2 linked regions of the Anolis sagrei genome follow. The protein of the gene in region 1 binds, or shares a complex with, the protein of each later gene. Links are inferred from orthologs where the notes say so. Each region holds a gene or a part of one and is shown on either strand. Other genes may lie near its edges.

Region 1 (11,914 bases):
TCCTGTGACTTAAGGGATGACGGCTACTGAAATGAAGAGAGAAGTGTGACAAGTGTCACAGGTAAATATCATAAAGGTGAAGGTAGGTCCTCAAATGGTATCAATTACTGCAGAGAAGGAAAGGAATGCAGGATAAATAAAAAAATGTATTTTGCAGGAAAAAAATGTATGGTTAGGAATGCAATTCAGTGATAAGAAACAACCTTCAGTTCTTTAAAATGTTTAACAGTTTGAAAGCGACTGAGAGAAAGAATTCAGCAGACAAGGTGAGTATGTCAGTATTTTCAGGTGACAAACTCTGTCCCTAACTTTGCTTACATTTTTTACTGGAAAAAAATGAGGTTTCGGGCATATGACAACCTTCAAGAAGCAGCAAACATGTAACAAAAATCTGATATAAGGAAAAGAGCAAGACTGGCTTCAGGAAAATGAAAAAGTTCACCAACATGGTGGTAAGTCTCAATGAGGTACCCTTTTTAATGGGAAGAATTCATATATCCTGGAAAATAATTAAGTGATTAAAGGCTTGGTTTTTTCACTTTGTATAACTAAATTCTTTATATAATTGAAGGAGGGTTTTGTTTTTAAAAAGAACTGAAAATTATTCATTTTGTATGGGAGATATGTAAACCAGTATATTCTTTTTATGGATAAATCTAACCATACAATTCACCATTCTGGACACAAGGTGGCAGGAAAGATATAACAAATGCATATACAATGACTCCACTGTGAGGTTATTGCATGAATTACAATGGAGTTTTTACTGGAAACAATACAGCATTTACAGCCCTGTGCTTTCAAACAATACCATCAGACTGGCTAGAGGGAAGATATAGAGCAGGGGTCCTCAAACTAAGGCCTAGGGGCCGGATACAGCTCTCCAAGGTCATTTACCTGCCCTTGCTCAGGGTCAACCTAAGTCTGAAACGACCTGAAAGCACACAACAACAATAACAATAATCCTGTCTCATCAGCCAAAAGCAGGCCCACACTTCCCATTGAAATACTAATAAGTTTATAGTTGTTAAAACTGTTCTTCAGTTTAATTATTGTATTGTTTTTAAGTGGGGTTTTTTTTTTTTGCACTACAAGTAAGATATGTGCAATGTGCATAGGAATTCATTCATGATTTTTTTCAAATTATAATCCGGCTCTCCAACAGTTTGAGGGCCTGTGACCTGGCCCTCTGTTTAAAAAGTTTGTAGATCCCTGGTCTAAAGCTTGCTAGGATGATAGTAACAATGACCAATTTTTTGTTTCCTTTTCACTAAATGATTTATTGTATGGAAGCTAATTTTTAAAATTATAACACAACCAATTCCCAAGATATAGGTCCACTTATACCTTCAGTTCATCTCTATGTCTTCCTCTATGTACCAGTGTGTTTGCATTCTGTATGGAAAAATAATACTTAACCACAGCGATTAGTCCTCAGAAAATACTGTGGAGAGAGACACAAAAGAAATACCGTGGCAATCGTTACGGATTGAGAATAATGATGTGCTTACCTAAGTTCCCGGATTCCTTTCCTCCAGTATTCTTCAGAATATGCTACTGCTATAGTGAGAAACACAGGCAAAGTAAGGCATAGACTGGTCATCATGAAATACTGAAACACTTCAATTTTCTGACTAATTTGTTCCAACTACTTTCAGAATATACATGTTTATATATCCTTATCAAACTGATTTACAGTTCTTTTAAAAAGGGAAATTACACGTCAATTTTACAAAGAGGTTATATATGAGTACAAAGTGAAGAAATGGCTTTTAAGCAGCCTAAGTATTTTCCAGGATATGAATTCTTCCCATTTAGAAATGTATCCCTTATATGATGTTTAACTTTTGTTTGATCATATGTGGACTTTTTCCCAGGTTTACCGGAGATGTTACAAGTTAAAGCACTTTAAAGCAGGTGACATGAAAAAGAATAAACGAACTGCATTTTAACAAGATTTTTTAAAAAGTAAACAAAGATATAAACAATTCCATGTGATTTCAGTTGCTGGAATGATTCAAGAAGTGAGAAGTGTGACGGTGTCACAAGGAACATCAGCAATGTGAAGGTAGATCCTGAAATTGTATCCTTTACTGCACTGAAATATATTTTGCCATTTTCCTTGCTGGCTCACTGAGGATATCACTGTGATGGTTCAATAGTTATTTGATGGGTTGCTGTGAGTGTTCCGGGCTGTATGGCTATGTTCCAGAAGTATTCTCTTCTGACGTTTTGTCCACATCTAAGACAGGTATCCTCAGAGGTTGTGAGATCTCTTGAAAACGAGGCAAGTGGGGTTTATATATCTGTGGAATGTCCATGGTGGCGGAAAGAACTATTGTCTATTTGAGGCGAGTGTGAATGTTGCAATTGGCCAGCTTGATTAGCATTGAATACCCTTGCAGCTTCAAAGCCTGACTGCTTCCTGCCTGGGGGAATCCTTTGTTGAGAGGTGTTATTTGATGCTTTAGAATGGGGTATGTGTGGGTTATTGGAATGTATAAATTAGCATTTAAGGAATATTTACTTTTGGAATACTGTATACTAAGATAAGTCTTGTATGGCAAAAATTTGTTAATTGTCGGGCTGTATCAAATAAAATAAAATAACTTTAAAAATTGATGCTTTGGTGACTTTTTGTTGTTGCAGCTTTGGAAGAGCTTGTCCGGTGCAAAATAGGTGACACAGATAATTACATTGATAGTTTGAGAAGATCAAGAAAGCAAAACATAACAAAAACTCAGGTGAGATAAGAAATATTCTCAAAGCTCAAATATTTTATTACTTTTTCTGGAATATTTTTTCCCTCTGACCTTCTCAAATGAATAATATGGTCTATATGTTGATTACGGCAGATTGAAAAGGAATTCTGAAAATTAAACAAATTGTATGTGACACTTTAGGAACTGTCTACAACAGCTTCAAATTCTTATTTACTGTCAGGAAAACACATTGGAGTTAAGTGAGGGGTAAGAAAGCAATTCCTCTTGTAAATCAAACTCTTGATATTCTTTACTGCAGGGAAAGGTTCATAATCTTTTCTCCTTGTTGGTTCACTGAAAATGTCACTGTGATGGTCTGACAGTTATTTGATACTTTGCAGATTTGGAAGGAATTGTTCAATAGAAAAGATCTGCAGGTGATCCATTATTTGAAGATAATTGTATTAAAAGTTTGGCAAGAAAGCAAGACATAACATTACTCTAAGAAGCATTACTTTTTGCATCACTTCTTTAAGGAGAACAAAGTACTAAACAACACAAATCTGTGTTAAATATTTTTATTTAGATTCTTATTAATTTCTTTTCTTTTGAGCAAGTTCAATGTGATTTTTTAGAATTAAAAAATATGTTTCACCTTCCCTTTTGGAATTGGCTAGAAAGTCTTCAACGTTTATTTATTTATTTATTTATTGTATTTATATACCGCCTTTCTCAGCTCAAAGGTGACTCAAGGCAATTTACAGTTGGCAAAATTCGATGCCCCCAACAACATAAAGTTCTTAGTGACTTGGGGTCCTTCCAGACAGGCCCTGTATCCCAGGATCTGATCCCAGGTTTTCTGTTTTAAATTAGATTGTATGAGTCCACATTGCCAGAAAATCTAGGATAACGTTTTAATGTTTTAACATTTTATCTTGCACATTTGGCCTGCCCTTTGTGTTTGATTTTTATTATGTTGTTTTGCACTGTTTATTTTATTTTGTTACTTCATGTATTTTGTTGTGATGTAATTTTTCTGTTATTTTGTGTTTAACTTTGCTGTATTATTTTTGGGCTTGGCCTCGTGTTAGCAGTCCCGAGTCCCCTTTGGGGAGAATGTGGCGAGGTATAAATAAATAAATAAATAAATAAATTATTATTATTGGGATAAACAGAAAACCTGGGATCATATCCTGGAATACAAGATCTGTCTGGAAAGAAAACCACAAAATGTAAGAAAAAGTGCATTATGCTTCTATAGCAGGCTTACACAATTTGGCATTCAAAAAAGCGAGACTTCTTCGTGCTGCAGATAGGTTTTAAGCACCTCGCTCACAGTTTGGTAACAAAGAGTCTCGATTTCCCCACTTCCCATCAACGTGGTAGCAGTCCTTTTATGAGGGAAAGAAGAAGTGTCTCAGTTTTTGCCTCTCTTATTTTCTCTTTGCCAATTATATCACACCAGAAGCGACTTGCAGTTTCTCAAGTCGCCCCTGACACACACACACAAAGTCCAAGGCTTGAAAGAAGAATGAGCAGACAGTGCAGCAATTAATGCTGGGATACAATTTGTATAGAATCCTAGAGTTGGAAAAGACCGTAAGGGTCATCTGGTCTAACCCCCTTCTGCCATGCAGGAAAAGCACAATTAAAGCACCCCCTGGCAGATGGACTGCCAGCCACAAAACTAACAAAGAAGGAGCATCCACCACTTTTCGAGGCAGCATATTTTACTGTTGAACAGCTCTTAGCACCAAGATGTTCTTCCTAATATTTAGGTGGCATCCCCCCCCCCATCATTTGAACTGATGGTTCTGAGTCCTAAGAACAGCAACTCCAGAACAGCAGAAAACGAGCTTCCAACAAACCTCACAATCTCTGAGGATGCCTGCCATAGATGTGGGTGAAACGGCAGGAGAGAATGCTTCTGGAACCTGGCAGTACAACCCGAAAAACTCACAGCAACCCAATAATGATAATAATAATAATAATAATAATAATAATAATAATAATTCTGCCTGATTCTTGCAGCCCAGGAGCAAGCCATCAGAACAAATGCAATTAAGGCCAGGATTGAAAAATCAGCTGATGACCCAAAATGCAGACTGTGCAAAGAAGCTGATAAAACCATGGATCATATCCTCAGCTGTTGCAAGAAAATCACGCAGACAGACTACAAACAAAGACACAACTTCGTGGCCCAAATGATTCACTGGAACTTATGTCAAAAGCACCACCTATCAGCAATAAAGAATTGGTGGGATCATAAGCCTGCAAAGGTAGTGGAAAATGAACACGCAAAAATATTGTGGGACTTTCGAATCAAGACTGACAAAGTTTTGGAACACAATACATCAGACATCATGATTGTGGAAAAGAAAAAAGTTTGGATTATTGATGTCGCAATTCCAGGTGACAGCCGCATTGAGGAAAAACAACAGGAAAAACTCAGCCGTTATCAGGACCTCAAAATCGAACTGCAAAGGCTGTGGCATAAACCAATACAGGTGGTCCCAGTGGTCATTGGCACACTGGGTGCCGTGCCAAAAAATCTCAGCTGGCATTTGGAAACAATAAACATTGACAAAATCACAATCTGTCAACTGCAAAAGGCCGCCGTACTTGGATCTGCACATATCATTCGAAAATACATCACACAGTCCTAGACGCTTGGGAAGTGTTTGACTTGTGATTTTGCGATACGAAATCCGGCATATAGATCTCATTTGCTGTGACATACTGTGCTTTTGTGTCAGTAAAATAATAATAATAATAATAATAATAATAATAATAATAATAGTAATAATAGTAATAATAATAATGCAGTTTCAGGCCCCTTCTACTCAGCCATATAAAATCCAGGTTATCTGCTTTGAACTGGAGCATGTGGCAGTGTAGACTCATACAATCCAGTACAAAGCAGATAATATGATCTGCTTTGAAAATCCGGATTATATGGCAGTGTAGATCCAGCCTTAGACTTTTTCTGGAATGTTTTTCCCTCTGACCTTTTCAAATGAATATGTTGATTAGAGCAGATTGAAAAGGAATTCTGAAAATTAAACAAATTGTACGTGACACTTTAGAAATTGTCTACAATAGCTTCAAAATCATATAACATGGCAGTGTAGATCCAGCCCCAGACTTATATGGTAGGGTAGATGAGGTCTTAAAGTTCTCTAAGTAATTTGCAGATGATGGTGGTGATTTATTTATTTATTTCTCGTGTCAGGGCAACCAGTCAATTGTATTACATTTCTAACAGAACAAAACAAGCAAACATACAAAACACAAAATTTGCAAGCTTGGTAGTTGATTAAATGTCCTTTGACCAGTATCTGGCCACTTGGAGTGCTTCTGGTGTTGCTGCAAGAAGGTCCTCCATGGTGCATGTGGCGGGGCTCAGGTTGCATTGCAGCAGGTGGTCAGTGGTTTGCTCCTCTCCACACTCGCATGTCGTGGATTCCACTCTGTGGCCCCATTTCTTGAGGTTGGCTCTGCATCTTGTGGTGCCAGAGCGCAGTCTGTTCAGCGCCTTCCAAGTCGCCCAGTCCTCTGTGTGCCCAGGGGGGAGTCTCTCAGGTATCAGCTATTGGTTAAGGTTCTGGGTTTGAGCCTGCCACTTTTTAACTCTCGCTTGCTGAGGTGTTCCAGCGAGTGTCTCTGTAGATCTTAGAAAACTATTTCTAGATTTAGGTCGTTGGATGGTGGTGATAATAATAATAATAATGATAGCTGGAGTGGCTCCTCACTTAAATTCCCTTCCAGGTCCCTTGGTTCCTTAGGGCCATTCCACAAAGCTATAGAAAATCCACATTGAACTGGATTAAATGGCAGTGTGCAGGCAGGTAGGGGGGGGGGGCTTGAGGGGCTTCAGCCCCTCCCCCCCCCGAAATTCTCATGGTGGTTCGTGAAAAGGCCTTACTGGTGCATTATTTCAACTGTTATGTTTATTCCTATCAGGATCTGATCACCATACTCAATATATCCCATATGCATGGGGGAATTGGGGCAATGATACAAAAGGTTTGCTAGGCTAGACCCTCTTTCACTCAGAGTCAGCACCCCCCCCCTGAAACTCAGCCCCCCCCCTGAAAAAACCTCACCCCCCCCCCCCCCAATCGAAATCCTGGCTACGGGCCTGGCAGTGTGGATTTAGATAACCCAGTTCAAGCAGATATTGTGGATTTTCTGCCTTGATATTCTGAATTATATGTCTTTGTGGAAGGGCCTAAAGTTCTCTATGTAATTTGCAGATGATGATGGTGGTGGTGATAATAATAACAATGGCAGCTGGAATAGTTCCTTCCTGAAGTTCCCTTCCAGGCCCTTCCTTCCTTAGACCCCTTTCTCACAGTTGTATACAATTAACATTGAACTGGTAGTGCGGGCTCAGATAATGCAGTTCAAGGCAGACATTGTGGATGTTCTCCCTTGATATTCCGGGTGAAATGGCTGTGTGGCAGGGCCCTGAGAAAGGCCAAACGGGAAGCAGTCCTTCTCTGTGGAAGGGCTTCCCTGCCTTGCGTCACCCTCGCGACGTCTGACGTCACCTCCCGCGGGCCGGACCCTGATTGGTCGCGGGGAGCGGAAGCGAGGGCGGGCGCTCCGTCCCCGTTGCCGCAGTGACAGGACCCGAGCGCTCCCAGGAGCTGGGAAATGGCGGCGGCATCGTCGTCGCGTCGCTCTCAGCAGCAGCAGCATCACCACCAGGCGCCGCCGCCGCCGCTCTCTCCGCCAAGGAGCCCCAGCCTTTCCCCTCAGCAGCCGCAGCGGCCTAGCCTTTCCGGGCCTGAGGGCGAGGCTACTGCGAGCGGCGGCCGCGAAGGGCCGGCGGAGAGGCCTTTCTCCCCAGAGAGCGCCGGAGAGGCCTCTGGGCCTCCTGCGCCTCCGGGTTCCGGAGCCAGCAGCGTCGCCACCAGCAGCACAAGCAGCAGCAGCAGCTCGGGCTCCTCCTCGTCGTCGTCTTCGGCGGCCTCCAGCCCGGCCGCCGCGGAGAGCCCCGACCCGCCCGCGCCTCCTCCCCCTCCGCCGCCGCCTCTGCAGCCGCCCCCTCCGCCCGTGGGCAGCGGGGCCTTCCGGGAGCTGCTCGAGGCCTGCCGGAATGGGGACGTGACCCGGGTCCGGCGCCTGGTGGATGCCACCAACGTCAACGCCAAGGACATGGCCGGGAGGAAGTCCACCCCGCTGCACTTCGCGGCAGGTGAGCAGGAGGAAGGCCTCCCGGGTGGGGGGCTCACAGGGGAGCTTCTCCCAGGGGTGTCCAAACAGTTTGCAAAGAGGCCCAATTTGGAGAAGTGAAAATATGTAGGGGGCAGAGCCATTCAGCCTGCCTTCTTTGAAGCATTAACATTAAATGTAAATAAACAATGTTGTGATAGGGTTTCTGTGAGTTTTCTGGGCTATATGGCTATGGCCACATCTACAGCAGACATCCTCAGGGGTTGAGGGGTCTGTTGGTACATGTAAACAAAATCAATCCTCACTACCTCTGAGGATGCTTGCCATAGATGCAGGCGAAACGTCAGGAGAGAATGCCTCTAGACCAGGGGTCCTCAAACTAAGGCCCGGGGGCCGGAGGCGGCCCTCCAAGGTCATTTACCCGGCCCTCGCTCAGGTTCAACCTAAGTCTGAAACTACTTAAAAGCACACAACAACAACATCAATCCTATCTCATCGGCCAAAAACAGGCCCACATTTCCCATTGAAATACTAATTTATATTTATTAACATTGTTCCTCATTTTAATTATTGTATTGTTTTTAAGTGTTTTTTGCACTACAAATAAGATATGTGCAATGTGCATAGGAATTCATTCATGTTTTTTTCAAATTATAATCCGGCCCTCCAACAGTTTGAGGGACTGTGACCTGGGCCTCTTTTTAAAAAGTTTGTGGACGCCTGATCTAGACCATGGCCATATAGCCCGAAAAAAACCCACAACAACCCAAAATCAATATAAATAAAAATGCAATGTTCGTTTGTGGGATTAACATAACTCAAAAACCACTGGACGAATTGACACCAAATTTGGACACAATACACCTATCAGGCCAACGAGTGACCCTCACTCATAAAAACACTGAAAAACACAGCAGAAGATACTTAAAAAGCAAAAAAAAAATAAAAAAATACATTACAACGCATTTGAAAATCATATATATACGCAGACACGCATATATACGCATATACACAAAAATATATACACACAAAACAAATATGCACAGACAGGACCACAGCAATGCGTGGCAGGGGATAGCTAGTTAATAAAAATGATAGACTTTAGATTAAAACATAGTCGTTCCTGTGAGCTGAAAAGGGCTTGCTACCCTAATCGAGGTAAATCCATGTCATAGAGATTGACTAATCACTGCCGACAGCCTGTTTTAATAATAATGATGATGATGATGATGATAATGATAATAATAAATCTTACTCCTGACCTTACGATCGTGTTAAAAAACAAAGTATAGATCACCAATGTTGCAATCACAGGCAACAGCAGGATTGAAGAGAAACAATTGGAAAAGCTGACACGATACGAGGATTTAAGGACCGAACAGCAAAGACTCTGGCATAAGCCAGTCAAGGTGGTCCCAGTGGTGATCGGCACACTGGGTGCAGTGCCTAAAGACCTTGGCCTGCACTTAAACACAGTCAGCACTGATAAAATTATTTGTTTATTTATTTACTGTATTTGTATACTACCTTTCTCAGCCCATAGGCGACTCAAGGCGGTTAACAGGGCAAAATTCATTACAATATCATAAATACAATTAAAAACATAACATATAATAAAAACTAAACAAATCAATAAAATATAAATTCATAGTGTTTCCTTGTTAAAAACATTGTCTGGACTCATTGTCTAGTCGTTCCATCTGTCTGCTGCAAAAGGCCACCCTACTGGGATCTGCACAAATTATTCGTTAATACATCACACAGTTCTAGACATTTGGGAAGTGTCCAACATGTGCTTCAATACAACAGCCAGCATAGTTACCTTGTTTGCTGTTTACTAATCTTGTTGTGCTTCAAATAAGAATAATAAATAGTTATTTATATCGTACATTTCTCCCTAAACAGGACCCAAAGCGGCTTACAACATTTTATCAAAGACTATACAAAACAATATGCACATATAAACCAATAACCTATAAAAACACATTTACAGTAAGAAATTAAAAAACATATTTAAAAATATTTGTCTCATACAGTTATTGCAGGCAACTCAAAAAGACAGATGGTAAACATTAACACCCCTCAATAAAAGTTAGCCTTTTCAAGGGCAGCCCCAAGTAGAGTGCATTACAGTAGTCCAATCTTGAGGTAACTAAGGCATGGACCACCCATGGTCAAGTCGGACTTCTTGAGGCACGGTCATTATTTAGCAGAGAAGGCTAAAGACCTTGTAAAACTATGGCTTCCATGATTCCAAAGCACAATTAACTGCATGAACTCTACGACAACCTTATCGCTCTGAGTCTGAACCCATGTCTTATTTTAAACTATTTTCCTCCCACTCTAATAGGAAAAGTAACTAAAAAAGAGCATCTTCTTTAGTTACTTTTTAATTTTATTTTATTTTATTTACTTCTAAGTGTAAATAACCAGGCCTTCAAATCCTTCCAAAATGCCATGAGGGTAGGTATCTATCTAGTCTCCCTGGGGAGGGCATTCCAGAGTCAGGGAGCCATTACTGAAAAGGCCCTCTCCCTTGTCCCTACTAGCCTCGTTTGTGATGGAGGTGGGATCGAGAGGAGGGCCTCCCCAGCTGATTGAAAGGCCTGAACAGGTTCATGAGGGGGCGGGAATGTGGTCACATAAATAGGCAGGACCTGAGCCATGCAGAGCTTTTCTTCACACAGAACAGAAATAAATCTAAACACGTTTTTAATAATGATAATAAAACGTTATTTGTATTTGACTCTATCTACCTATCTCCCCAGTGGATTCCAGCAGATACAAAGGCAAACATTCAATGCCGTGATAAAACAGTGGATACAAATACAACAAACAACCAACCAAATCCCAAGTCCCAAAATAAACCAACATCTAAAACCAAATTAGAACACACAACCTAGAATTAAATAATAACATGAGCTAACAATTAAATGATATCTGAAATAAACATAAACACAATATGTAAAAACACCAAAATTGATTTACAATATTTAAAATAATGTGGCCAGTGATGTTCACAAGGCTGACAGAGCCAACAGAGCTCGCATGCCACAACAATTTCCAGTCAGGGCCTATTAGCTGAATACTGTCGTCTTATTCTCCTCCTCTCCATATCTGCAAAGATGGGTTTTTAATTGTTTTTTAAAGGAGAGACGGGAGGGGGAGCATTTTTATTTCTTTAGGGAGGAAGTTCCAGAGGTGAGGGCTGATTACGGAGAAGGCCCTCCCTCTCGTTCCCTTCAACTGTAGTTGAGACGAGAGTGGGACCGAGAGTAGGTCCTCCTCCACTGACCACAGTGTCTGAGTTGGTTTGCAGGAGAAGATGTGATTTGTCAAATAGCCTGGGCCTGAACTATCTAGGGCTTTAAAGGTAATGACAAGCACTTTGTATTTAGCCCAGAAACAGACCGACAGCCAGTGGAGCTGCCGCAACATGGGAGTGTACAGAGATTTACAAAAAAATAACTCTGCCTTTCATAGATTTGAATATCACACAAAACGAAGAAAAAGTCTGTCTGGAAAATTAAACATATCTAGGTTCGTTTGAAACATTACATATTTGAAACATTACATATTTTTCACTATTACATTTGACTATCCCTATCTCCGTATATACACCGACCCAGCCACTGCAGTCTGCGGAGGAGGCCCTGCTCTCAGTCACACCTATGTCTCAAGCATCGTTGGTGGGAACGAGAGATAGGGCCTTCTCTGTGATCACCCCCGCCTCTGGAACTCCCTCCCTAAAGAAGTAAAAATGGCCTTTTCCCTTGTCTCCTTAAAAAAAATGCTTAAAACATATTTTTAGCTTATGGAGAGGAGGATTAGAATATTATGTTTTACAGTCTTGACTAGAACATGGCAGCTTACTCTGGCTTGTTGGCAGCAGATACATTATATAACAATTGTTATTTTAACTATTTTAAATTGTTTTTAAACTGATTAGTTTTATTACTTTGTAGGTATATAATAATGCTTTATTTATAGCCCGTCCAATCATCCCAAGGGGACTTGGGGCGGCTTACAAC
Region 2 (11,908 bases), on another chromosome or scaffold:
TTGGCAAGTTGTTGGCCCTATAACTGCAACCTGAGGGAAGCTACCTTATTGCAAAATCCATGGCTTAAATAGATTCATGCAAACTAGCAGTGCAAGAAAAGGAATTCAAATCTCCTGGCACTGCCGTGCCAGCACACCAACCTTAAATTTGAGATTTAGTCAATGAAATACAGCAACAAAAAAGTCACTAATTGTCAGGTTAGTTCACTTATCATAGTTCATGGCACCCCACACAAGTTAAATAATATCAAGACCAACAAAAGAAACCAACTGATGAACTAAAAAGTCACTAAGCAGGTAAGTTAAATAATTAGTTTTTAGTTTATTAAATACAGTTATATATTACAATTATGCATTTTTGTTATTTAAACTATAAATATTGCAAAATTATGGGATTTTTTAAGTGACACCCCACCCAAGTTATGCTCGGATTTTTGGCAAATTTTGATACACCAAGCTCAAAAGGTTGCCCATCACTGCTCTGGGTAGTTTTATACATAAGATTCATAACAATTTGGTGTGTGACACAAAGTTTGCAAAATGGAAAATAGACCCACCATAAAGCAAAGATGTCACTAATCCCAGCCAAACTATTTTGGACCATCTTGGAGAATTTTGGAATTCCAGATAAGGGGTGCTGAATTTATTTTAACTTATTACATACATAATGAGACAGCTTTGAGTTGGAAGCCAAGTCTAAATATAAAATTTATTGACGTTTCATATAAAACTTGTATGTTTGCACATTATTATTATTATTATTATTATTATTATTATTATTTCAAACACAACAAGTTTGGTACACAGCAAACAACATCACTCTGCTGGCTGTTGTATTGGATTACACGTCGGACACTTCCCAAGTGTCTTGGACTGTGTGATGTATCAGCGAATAATGTGTGCAGATCTGAGTAGGGTAGCCTTTTACAGCTGACAGATGGTAATCTGGGATAAACCTGGGATCAGATCCTGGGATATAGGGCCTGTCTGCAAGGGCCCTGAGTTCACACTCCCATATATCCCAATTCAAAGCAGATAATGTGGGATTATATTCAGATGTGGAAGGGACCATAGTCAAAATCCAAAGTGCTATCAATGAATTACAGTCATTTGAAAATTCAAAAATGCATGCATATTGACACTTCTACTTGCACAACACAGTGTGGTTTGAGATGTAGCTATGAATGTAAACAATAGGAGTGTTTCGTAGGTTGCAGTGAGTTTTCCGGGCTGTATGGCCATGTTCCAGAAGCATTCTCTCCTGACGTTTCGCCTGCATCTATGGCAGGCATCCTCATAGGTTGAGGGGTCTGTTGGAAACTTAGTAAGTGAGGCTTATATATCTGTGGAATGGGTTGCTGTAAGTTTTTTTGGGCTGTATGCTCATGTTCCAGAAGCATTCTGTCCTGACATTTCACTTGCATCTATGGCAAGCATCCTCAGAGGTTGTGAGGCGTTGGAAACTAGGAAAATTGGGTTTATATATCTGTGGAATGTCCAGGGTGGGACACAGGTGGACACCTGCCGTAGATGCAGGTGAAACATCAGAAGAGAATGCTTCTGGAACATGGCCATACAGCCCGAAAAACTTACAGCAACACAGTGATTCCGGCCATGAAAGTTGTGGACAATACATATCTGTGGAATGTCCAGGGTGGAAGAAAGAACTCTTGTCTGCTTGAGGTGAGTGTGAATGTTGCAATTGGCCACCTTGATTAGCATTGAGGGGTTTTGTAGCTTCAAAGCCTGGCTGATTGCTTCCTGGGGGGATCCTTTGTTAGGATGTGTTAGCTGGCCCTGATTGATTCATGTCTGGAATCCCTCTCCTTTTTGTGTGTTGCTCTTTATTTACTGTTCTGATTTTAGAGGGTTTTTTTAATCCCATGGTTTGCCGCTTCTGAGCTCCCCTACAGACACATACTTCTCCATTTACTTATCTCACCCACGGTTTTATCCATCTTATTCTGTGCATTTGGCCCGCCCACTGTGCTTTTATTTTATTTCTTCATAACATTATTTTGCATCTGTTTATTTCATTTTCTGTTATTTTCTGTATTTTATTTTGATGCCATTATTTGCTGTTTGTATTTTATTTTATTTTGTTGTACTATAATTCTGGGCTTGGTGTCATGTTAGCCACCCCGAGTCACCTTTGGGGAGATGGTGTCGGGGTATAAATAAAGATTATTATTATTATTATTATTATTATTATTATTATTAGGCGCCCCTGGTGGCACAGTGGGTCAAACCACTGAACTGCTAAACTTTTTGACCCAAAGGTCGGTTTGAAGGTTCAAATCCAGGGAGCGGCGTGAGTTTCTGCTGTCAGTACCAGCTTCTGCCAACCTAGCAATTCGAAAACATGTAAATGTGAGTAGATCAATAGGTACCACTCTGGCAGGAAGGTAACGGTGCTCCATGCAGTCCTGCTGGCCACATAACCTTGGAGGTGTCTATGGACAATTCAGGGCTTAGAAATGGAGACAGAATCATAGAATCATAGAGTTGGGAGAGACCTCATGGGCTATCCAGTCCAACCCCCTGCTAAGAAGCAGGAAAATTGCATTCAAAGCACACCTGACAGATGGCCATCCAGCCTCTGTTTAAAAGCTTCCAAAGAAGGAGCCTCCACCACACTCCGGGGCAGAGAGTTCCACTGCTGAACAGCTCTCACAGTCAGGAAGTTCTTCCTAATGTTCAGATGGAATCTCCTTTCTTGTAGTTTGAATGAACAACAACCCCCAGAGTTGGACACAACTGGACTTAATGTCATGAGAAAACCTTTACCTTTTTATTATTATTATTATTATTATTATTATTATTATTATTATTATTATTTGAAAGACAAGATGAGTCCACAGCAGACACTCTGCTGGCTGTTGTATTGGACCACAAGTTGGATACTTCCCAAGTGTCTAGGACTGTATTATTATTATTATTGACACAAAAGTATAGTATGTCACAGCAAAGGAGATCTATTTGCTGGATTTCGTATCACAAAATCACAAGTCGAACACTCCCCAAGCGTCTAGGACTGTGTGATGTATTTTCGAATGATGCGCGCAGATCCAAGTAAGTTGGCCTTTTGCAGTTGACAGATCGTGATTTTGTCGATGTTTATTGTTTCCAAATGCCGGCTGAGATCTTTTGGCACGGCACCCAGTGCACCAATGACCACTGGGACCACCTGTACTGGTTTATGCCAGAGCCTTTGCAGTTCGATTTTGAGGTCTTGATAGCAGCTGAGTTTTTCCTGTTGTTTTTCCTCAATGCGACTGTCACCCAGTATGGCAATATCAATAATCCAAACGTTTTTTCTTTTCCACAATAGTGATGTCTGGTGTATTGTGTTCCAAAACTTTGTCAGTCTGGATTCGAAAGTCCCACAGTATTTTTGCATGCTAATTTTCCACGGCCGTTGCGGGTTTGTGATCCCACCAATTCTTTATTGCTGGCAGGTGGTACCAGTGAATCATCTGAGCCACAGAGTTGTGTCTTTTTGTAGTCCGGCTGTGCGATTTTCTTGCAACAGCTGAGGATATGATCCATGGTTTCATTAGCTTCCTTGTACAGTCTGCATTTTGGGTCATCAGCTGATTTTTCAATCCTGGCCTTATTATTATTATTATTATTATTATTAGAAACACAACAAGTTGAGTCCACAGCAGACACTCTGCTGGCTACTTCGGACACTTCCCAAGTGTCTAGGACTGTGTAATGTATCGGTGAATAATGCATGCAGATCCCAGTAAGGTGGCCTTTTGCAGCTGGCAGATGGTAATCTTGTCAGCACCGATTGTGTTTAAGTGCAGGACAAGGTCTTTAGGCACTGCACCCAGTGTGCCGATCACCACTGGGACCACCTTGACTGGCTTGTGCCAGAGTCTTTGCAATTCGAACTTTAAATCCACATATCGTGTCAGCTTTTCCAGTTCTTTCTCTTCAATCCTGCTGACATATGGGATTGCAACATCGACAATCCATATTTTGTTTTTTAACACAATCATGAGGTCAGGAGTATTGTATTGCAAAACTCTGTCTGAATTCAGAAGTCCCAGAGTAGCTTGACATGTGCGTTTTCTATAACTTTTTCTGGCTTGTGATCCCATCAGTTCTTTGTCGCAGGCAGATGGTATTTGTGGCACAAGTTCCAATGAATCATTTGAGTAACAGTGTTACGCCTCTGCTTGTAGTCTGTCTGTGCGTTCTTCTTGCAGCAGCTGAGGACGTGATCTATTGTTTCATCTGCTTCCTTGCAGAGTCTACATTTGGGATCTGTCGTCGACTTTTCAATTCTGGCTTTGATGGCATTGGTTCTAATGACTTGTTCTTGGGCTGCCAGAATCAAAATAATAACAATATTCTGCCATAATAATAATAATCATCAGTATGGAGTTTGGTATAATCAGTATGAAGTACATCGGTATGGAGTTTAGCCTAGACAAATGTGTCACAGTGGCATTAAAGAAAGGGAAAATTACTCACAGCAAGGGCACTGAGATGCCAAATGGACAAAGCATAAAATGTAATCAGCCTGAAGCCTATAAATATCTGGGCATACTACAGTTGGACAATATTAAGCATGGGCATGTGAAAAATGTGGTCAGCAAAGAATATGTCCAAAGAGTCAGAAAGGTTTTGAAGAGCAAATTAAATGGCAGAAATACTATCAAGGCTATCAACACCTGGGCCATCCCCGTCATTAGATACACTGCTGGGATTGTGAACTGGACGTAAGAAGAGCTGGATGATCTGGACAGAATTTTTTTTTAATTACCATCTACTACTTATTATACCCGCGTAGTGATGTCGACAGACTTTACCTGCCCAGAAAATCAGGAGGCTGAGGGCTTCTGCAAGTGAAACAAATGGTAGAAGAAGAGAAACATACATGGCCAAATTATGTGAAGGGCAGTCAAGAACCAACATTGAGCGAAGTCAATAGTAGTAAACTGCTTAAAGTGCAAAAGACAAAGAGTCAATACCGTAAAAACACAATCCAGAGCAGAAGACAAAACTGGCCAAAGAAGGCTCTCCATGGGCAGTTCATGGCAAAAATTGAGAGCCAAATTGACAAAGAAAAAACATGGCTGTGGCTCACAAATGGGACTTTGAAAAAGGAGACGGAGGGCCTGATTCTGGCAGCCCAAGAACAAGCCATTAGAACCAATGCCATCAAAGCCAGAATTGAAAAGTCAACGACAGATCCCAAATGTAGACTCTGCAAGGAAGCAGATGAAACAATAGATCACGTCCTGAGCTGCTGCAAGAAGATTGCGCAGACAGACTACAAGCAGAGGCATAACACCATTGCTCAGATGATTCATTGGAACTTGTGCCACAAATACCATCTGCCTGCAACAAAGAACTGGTGGGATCACAAGCTGGAAAAAGTTACAGAAAATGAAAACGTCAAGCTACTTTGGGACTTCTGGATTCAGACAGAGTTTTGGAGCACAATACTCCTGACCTCACGATCGTGTTAAAAAAACAAAGTATGGATTGTTGATGTTGCAATCAGAGGCGGCCCTAGGTAATTTTCAACGGTAAGCAAATAGTATTTTGCCCCCCCCCCCCACCAATCACTGATATATGTTTTCTGTTTGTCGTGGGAGTTCTGTGGTTCAATATTTGGTTCAATTCCAACATTGGTGGAGTTCAGAATGCTCTTTGATTGTAGGTGAACTATACATCCCAGTAACTATAACTTGCATATGTCAACATCTATTTTCCCCCAAGAGTGCCTCTGGGCAAAATCAACTATACTGCAAATGCTTACTTTGCGTAATGGGTTGAGCAGCCCCTGGTTGCAATCCGAGGTGACAGCATGATTGAAGAGAAACAACAGGAAAAGCTGACACAATATGAGGATTTAAAGATCGAACTGCAAAGACTCTGGCACAAGCAGTCAAGGTGGTCCCAGTGGTGATCGGCACATTGGGTGCAGTGCCTAAAGACCTTGGCCTGCACTTAAACACAATTGGTGCTGACAAAATTACGACCTGCCAGCTGCAAAAGGCCACCTTACTGGGATCTGCATGCATTATTCGCAGATACATCACACAGTCCTAGACACTTGGGAAGTTTTCGACGTGTGATCCAATACAACAGCCAGCAGAGTGTCTGCTGTGAACTCATCTTGTGGTGTTTCTAATAATAATAATAATAATAATAATAATAATAATACAGTCCTTGACACGTGTGATCCAATACAACAGCCAGCAGAGTGTCTGCTCTGGACTTTATTATAACTTTATTTGTACCCTGCTAGCATCTCTCGAAGGACTCGATGCGATTTACATAGGCCAAGGCCTCAAAACACAATACAACAATACAATACCTAAAGCAAATTAAAAACAGTTAAGCAGTATAACAACAAACATAAACAATACATCAAGACACTATAAAACTGGGCCGGGCCAGAGTAATGGGAACAAGATTAAAAGTGCTGATGTGGCAGGAGGTATGTAGGATTATAAAGTAAGTGCAATGTGCGGTGTGCAGCAATCTTAGTTCTACTAAAGTGCTTCCAGGACTTGGTATTGGAGATTCCTAATCTGAGAAGGCACATCGGAACAGCCAAGTCTTCAAGTTCTTTCTGAAGACTGCCAGTGTAGGGGCCTGTCTAAGATCTTTTGGGAGGGCGTTCCAGAGTCGGGGGGGGGGGGGCACCACAGAAAAGGCCCTGTCTCGAGTTATCTTGTGGTGTTTCAAATAATAATAATTATTTAAATACTGGTAGGCAGACAGGTTTTTGTCTTTGTCACTTCTGGAAACCTATGCCAATAGTCGTCGGGAACTGTCTGTAATTGGGGATCCCGGGGAAGAATAAGGAAGGGCTGGCCTCGTCCTGGGAGCGAAAGGGTGTGTTGTGTTCCTGTTTGGGGGCGGAAGACGGGGAGGGAGAGGAGGGGGAGACACCCTTTCATCCAGGCGCCGCCAGGAAAAGGAAACCGAAGCGGAGGAAGAAGGAGGAGGAGGGATTGAGGGAGGGATGGGAGGAGCCCGAGCAAGATGCCAGCACCGGGCAGGTTTGGTTGAGGCGGGCGCTGCCGCCGCCGCCGCCTTCACCCGCCACTAAGCGAGCGCCCTCTGCCTCCTCCTCGTCCTCCTCCTCCCGCCACGGCTGCGCTTGGCTCCCGCAGCAGAGGCCTCGGCCGCCTCCTCGGGCTCCCGCTCTTCCCCCTTTCGCCCAGCGCCGTCTCCAGCCATGACGGTGGAGCAGAACGTGCTGCAGCAGCAGAGCAACGCCCAGAAGGTGAGCGAGCGGAACCCAGGCAGGCGCCGGGTCTGAAAGAGAGAGGGAGGGAGGGAGGGAAGGAGGGAAGAGGGAGGGAGGAAGGTTCAAAGCGGAGAGAGGCCTGGCAGGGAAGAGAGAGGCCTGCCGCTCTGGGGCGCGTCCTCCCGCCTCGGCTTCCTTGTGACCTTTGATTCAGAGGGAGGGAGAGAGACAAAACACACACAACACAAGCGGCGTGTGTGTGCTGGAATCACAGCGCCTTGCATTTGGTCGCCTTTCTCTCAGGGTGCAACTACGCCAAGCGTGGGCCAACTTGGGCCCTCCCTCCAGGTGTTTTGGACTTCAACTCCCACCATTCCGAACAGCCTCAGGCCCCTTCCTTTCCCCCCTCAGCCGCTTAAGCGGCTGAGGGGGGAAAGGAAAGGGCCTGAGGCTGTTTGGAATGGTGGGAGTTGAAGTCCAAAATATCTGGAGGGAGGGCCCAAGTTGGCCCATTAGGAGTGGTGGGAGTTGCAGTCCAAAACACCTGGAGGGAAGGCCCAAGTTGGCCCATTAGGAATGGTGGGAGTTGAAGTCCAAAACACCTGGAGGGAAGGCCCAAGTTTGCCCATTAGGAATGGTGGGAGTTGAAGTCCAAAATACCCAGAGGGAGGGCTCAAGTTTGCCCATTAGGAATAGTGGGAGCTGAAGTCCAAAACATCAGGAGGGAGGACTCAGGTTTGCCCATTAGGAATGGTGGGAGTTGCAGTCCAAAACATCTGGAGGGAGGGCCCAAGTTTGCCCATTAGGAATGGTGGGAGCTGAAGTCCAAAATACCCAGAGGGAGGGCTCAAGTTTGTCAAGTAGGAATGGTGGGAGTTGTAGTCCAAAACACCTGGAAATAATGCAGTGGCACAATAAATATAAACATGCAAACACAATATGCATTATACATTAAAATCAATAAAAACCATAATGTATCAATACATTAAATGAACTCAAAACCATAACACAAAAGACCCAGAACATAATCCATAGCTGCCTATTGCACTTCCTAGCTGCCTATTGCACTGTACTACTCTCCAAATGCTTGATCCTATAGCCAGGACAGGCTGGAGGGAGCTAATCTAATTTCACTGGGGAGGGAGTTCCACAGGACCACCACTGACAAGGCCCTGTCTCTCGCCCTCACCAGCCACACCTGCAAAGGAGTTGGGACCGAGAGCTGGGCTTCCCCAGAAGATCTTAGCATCCGGGTTGGTTCATAGGGTGAGATATGTTCGGATAGGTAAGCTGGGCCAGAACTGTTTAGGGCAGTGGTGCTTAACTTGTGAGTCCCCAGATGTTTTGGCCTTCAATTCCCAGAAATCCTAAATGCTAAAGCCAGCACTTTGAATTGTGGTTGGTTGCAAATTGGCAAATGTCTCAGGGTGTTTTGTGTGTCAAGTCTGTGGAGGCTGCTTCACAGAATATTCTTCTCTATTGTTTTCATTCCTCTCCCCAATTTTTAAACACCTTCATTCCCCCCCCCCCCCCCCCCGGTCCTTGTGTCCTGAGATGCACCTTGCTTCTCCTGGTCATATTAGCTCTACAACCAGTTTTGTGATACTTTGGCAAACTAAATTTAAAGACTGGGTTGCTGTGAGTTTTACAGGCTGTATGGCCATTTCCAGAGCCATTCTCTCCTGGCATTTCACCTGCATCTATGTCAGGCATCCTCAGAGGTTGTGAGGTCTGTTGGAAACTAGGAAAGTGGGGTTTATATATCTGTGGAATATCCAGGGTGAGAGAAAGAACTCTTGCTTGTTTGAGGCAGGTGTTTAAAGAGTTCAGAGCTAGTTTAAAGGGTTGGAAGAAGCCAAAAATTTGTGTTTTGGTTCCGAAACGGAAACATGTTACAGCTTTTCCTCTTATACTCTGAAGTAATAGATGTAGTTGTGAAGTAAAAGTAGCATGGGTTCTCTTTAACGAGAATTTGCCAGGAAATGATCGCCTAAGATGCATTCTTGCTCATTGCCAACTTTATGTATCTAGCTAACCTTGCCCCTTCAAAACTGGAATCCGACTCTTGAATATTTGGGGCCTGTGTTAATCAAATTTAAATGTATGTATATCTTTTTGGGGTGTTGTGTGGCTGGCATCTTAAGATATATATCTTTTTCTTTTGGAGTATGACAGCCTGACACCTGGTGGAAATTTTGTCATGAAGTTAGATCTGTACAGGAAAAAAGTATTTAACTGACTCTGGAACAACCTTGTCAGATGAACTTAGTCTGTGTGCAAGGGCTATTTATGTTGCCAACACCGAGAGCCTTGTGGTATCAAGAGAAAGTAAAGTTGTTACCATTGAATGCTTGTGAAAATCATTCTCAAGTTTGTAAAACATATTTAATGCCCTTTCTTCAAAGAAGACATCACAGTTTATTTTTATCCTTCTTTTATGAAATCTATATGAATAAACTGAAAGTTACTGATATTATCAATTTACCAGTTTGAAAGTGTGGTCTTTGTTCAAAATATAATGTTTTTAGTGTCTCTGTATGGTATAAAGTGAATTATTCTTGTAGACAGAAATTGGTGTGTGGATTAATGTTTCTAGAAGTCTGTCATATGCTCTGGACTTGTTACATGAATACATTGTTGGTGAGTCAGTAATGATCATCTGGAAATGGTATGGAATCTCTACAACTTGTCATTCATTTGAGTCATATCTGTGTGCAGCCACTAAAATTGGGTGCTGGGTGGTTTTTGATTAATCTGAGTTGAATGGGGATGTTCAGGTTCTAGTTACTCTTATAAAGTTACTATTCACTCCTCTGCATCATAATAAAATTAGATTTCCATTTTTTGTAACACCTGTATTTGGATACATATGGTGAATGAAGTTTGGGGGAAGCAGGGTTATAACATTTCTAGTGCTCACTGAGACTCACTTCAAGGAGCCCCCACTCCACCACTGTCAGAAAGTGGACAGGGGAAAGAGAAGAGTGGGGTGGATAGGGGGAAATGCTGCTTTCATGAGGTTCCTTCAAAAAGCAGATGTCCCAGACGCTTTTCCAGCTGTCAGCACACTTTAACAAAGTAACAAGAAGAGAAAATCCTAAGCCCATTGAATCTCGTTCAGTTTTTCTGGGCTGGAGACAGGCAAAATCTATTAAGGCTGCAATCTACAATCACCTTCACGGACTGGTTCTAAAGTGCCTGCCCTGCTTTGCACCACCAATAGCCAAGTAGAAGGTAAACAAAGCGTCTGGGCTGTTGGCTTTTGTGCAAATTGAGTCTTTTAACCTCTTCTCATTCCCCTTCAAGGAAAAAAACTCAGTGGGGTTTGGATATGTGACTAGCACCCTATTTTCAAAAGAGGAAATTGGCAGTTGTGGTATTCAGTATTTGGAGAATTTTCAATTTCCTGATAAGGGAGACTCAACCTATAATTTAAGTAACTGTCCTGTTTGCTCTTCCAGCGTGTGCTTCATGTCCACTCTCCTGTTTCTTTTTCTTGTAGAGCCCATCTAGTATCAACTTCAGCAACAGGGTACATCAACAGGGTAACAACAACAACAGCAACAACAATTTTTTCTTATACCCCACCACCATCTTCCTGAAGGGACTTGGGGTGGCTTACATATGGGACAGAATGTCCAACAGACAAAAACCAAAGCAATCCATTAAAACAAGAACACCTCTAAAATAGGGACATTGTAAAATACAACCAGATAAAACACAATTAAATAAAAAACAGCAGCATTGAAGCTCCATCAGACAATGTTCAACAAAAACCAATGACCAGAATTACTAAAGTGGGCATGACCGGGCTATAAAAGGGTCGGGCATGGGATAGTTCAAAATTGTATTCCCTAGGGCTGGGGAATTGGATGAGGTCCAGAGAACAGAGTACTATCTGGTGACCTATAGACTGGGCATTTGTAATAGGGAGTAGTCTTTCTCAAATGCTTGCTGGAACATCCAAGTTTTCAGATCGCTGTGAAAAGAGGGCAGTGTGGTGACTTGCCTTATCTCCCTGGGGAAGGTGTTTCCTATTCGAGGGGCCACCACTGAGAAGGATCTCTCCCTTGACCCCACCAGCCATGCCTGTGGTGGAAGTGAGAGGAGGGCCTCTTTAGCAGATCTTAAAGCCTGTGCGCTCCCCTAATTGCTTCCAGTTAGAATCATGGCTGCCAACCTTTGCACCAGTTGTAGTTTCTGGGCCATCTTCAAAGTCAGCCCCCATGTGGAGGGTGTTACAATAATCAAAACTGGATGTTAGCAAGGAATGGACCACCATTGCCAAGTCAGGCTGCTCAAGGTACAGTTGCAGCTGGTGCAGAAGCTTTTAACTATGCAAAGCCCTTCCTGGCCACAGCCAACACGTGAGTATCAAGCGTCAGTGCTGAGTACAGGAAGACCCCCCAACTGCGGTCCTGTGTCCTCAGGGGGAGTGTAACTCCGTCGAGCACAGGTTGCCCCCCTGTACCCCAATCGAACTCACAACTGACCAGGAGGACCCCTGTCTTGTCTGGATTTCTGTATTTTGTACCCACATTTCTGCACTGCAGTGATTTTAGATTTCTGTTCATATTTTTCCTGTCATGGTAAAAAAGAAAGTGAGGCTGTTGTTATATTCTATATTCCCTGCGTTCTGCAAGGCAGTGTTACTCCTACTGTGTGGTCCATGGGCTGGGGCTTGGC

The links.
Region 2: the proteins of TNKS (region 1) and USP25 are in contact, whole or in part, in a crystal structure (PDB 5GP7), measured with the Homo sapiens proteins. The link is inferred for Anolis sagrei from reciprocal best matches to the Homo sapiens genes TNKS and USP25. Residues at the interface, in NP_003738.2 of Homo sapiens: Arg836, Ser838, His842, Leu843, Gly846, Tyr847, Leu871, Asn876, Ser879, Tyr880, His882, Asp900, Trp902, Phe904, Glu909, Gln912, Lys913, Gln934, Glu935; in NP_037528.3 of Homo sapiens: Ser1046, Ser1048, Arg1049, Thr1050, Pro1051, Ala1052, Asp1053, Gly1054, Arg1055.

The regions. Positions count from the first base shown.
Region 1 is NC_090022.1:194,921,516-194,933,429, forward strand, and holds the start of TNKS (poly [ADP-ribose] polymerase tankyrase-1), read left to right. Parts: upstream 1-7,299; 5' UTR 7,300-7,361; coding exon 7,362-7,905; intron 7,906-11,914.
Region 2 is NC_090023.1:61,863,979-61,875,886, forward strand, and holds the start of USP25 (ubiquitin carboxyl-terminal hydrolase 25), read left to right. Parts: upstream 1-6,984; 5' UTR 6,985-7,210; coding exon 7,211-7,258; intron 7,259-11,908. UniProt on the Homo sapiens protein: Deubiquitinating enzyme that hydrolyzes ubiquitin moieties conjugated to substrates and thus, functions in various biological processes including inflammation and immune response.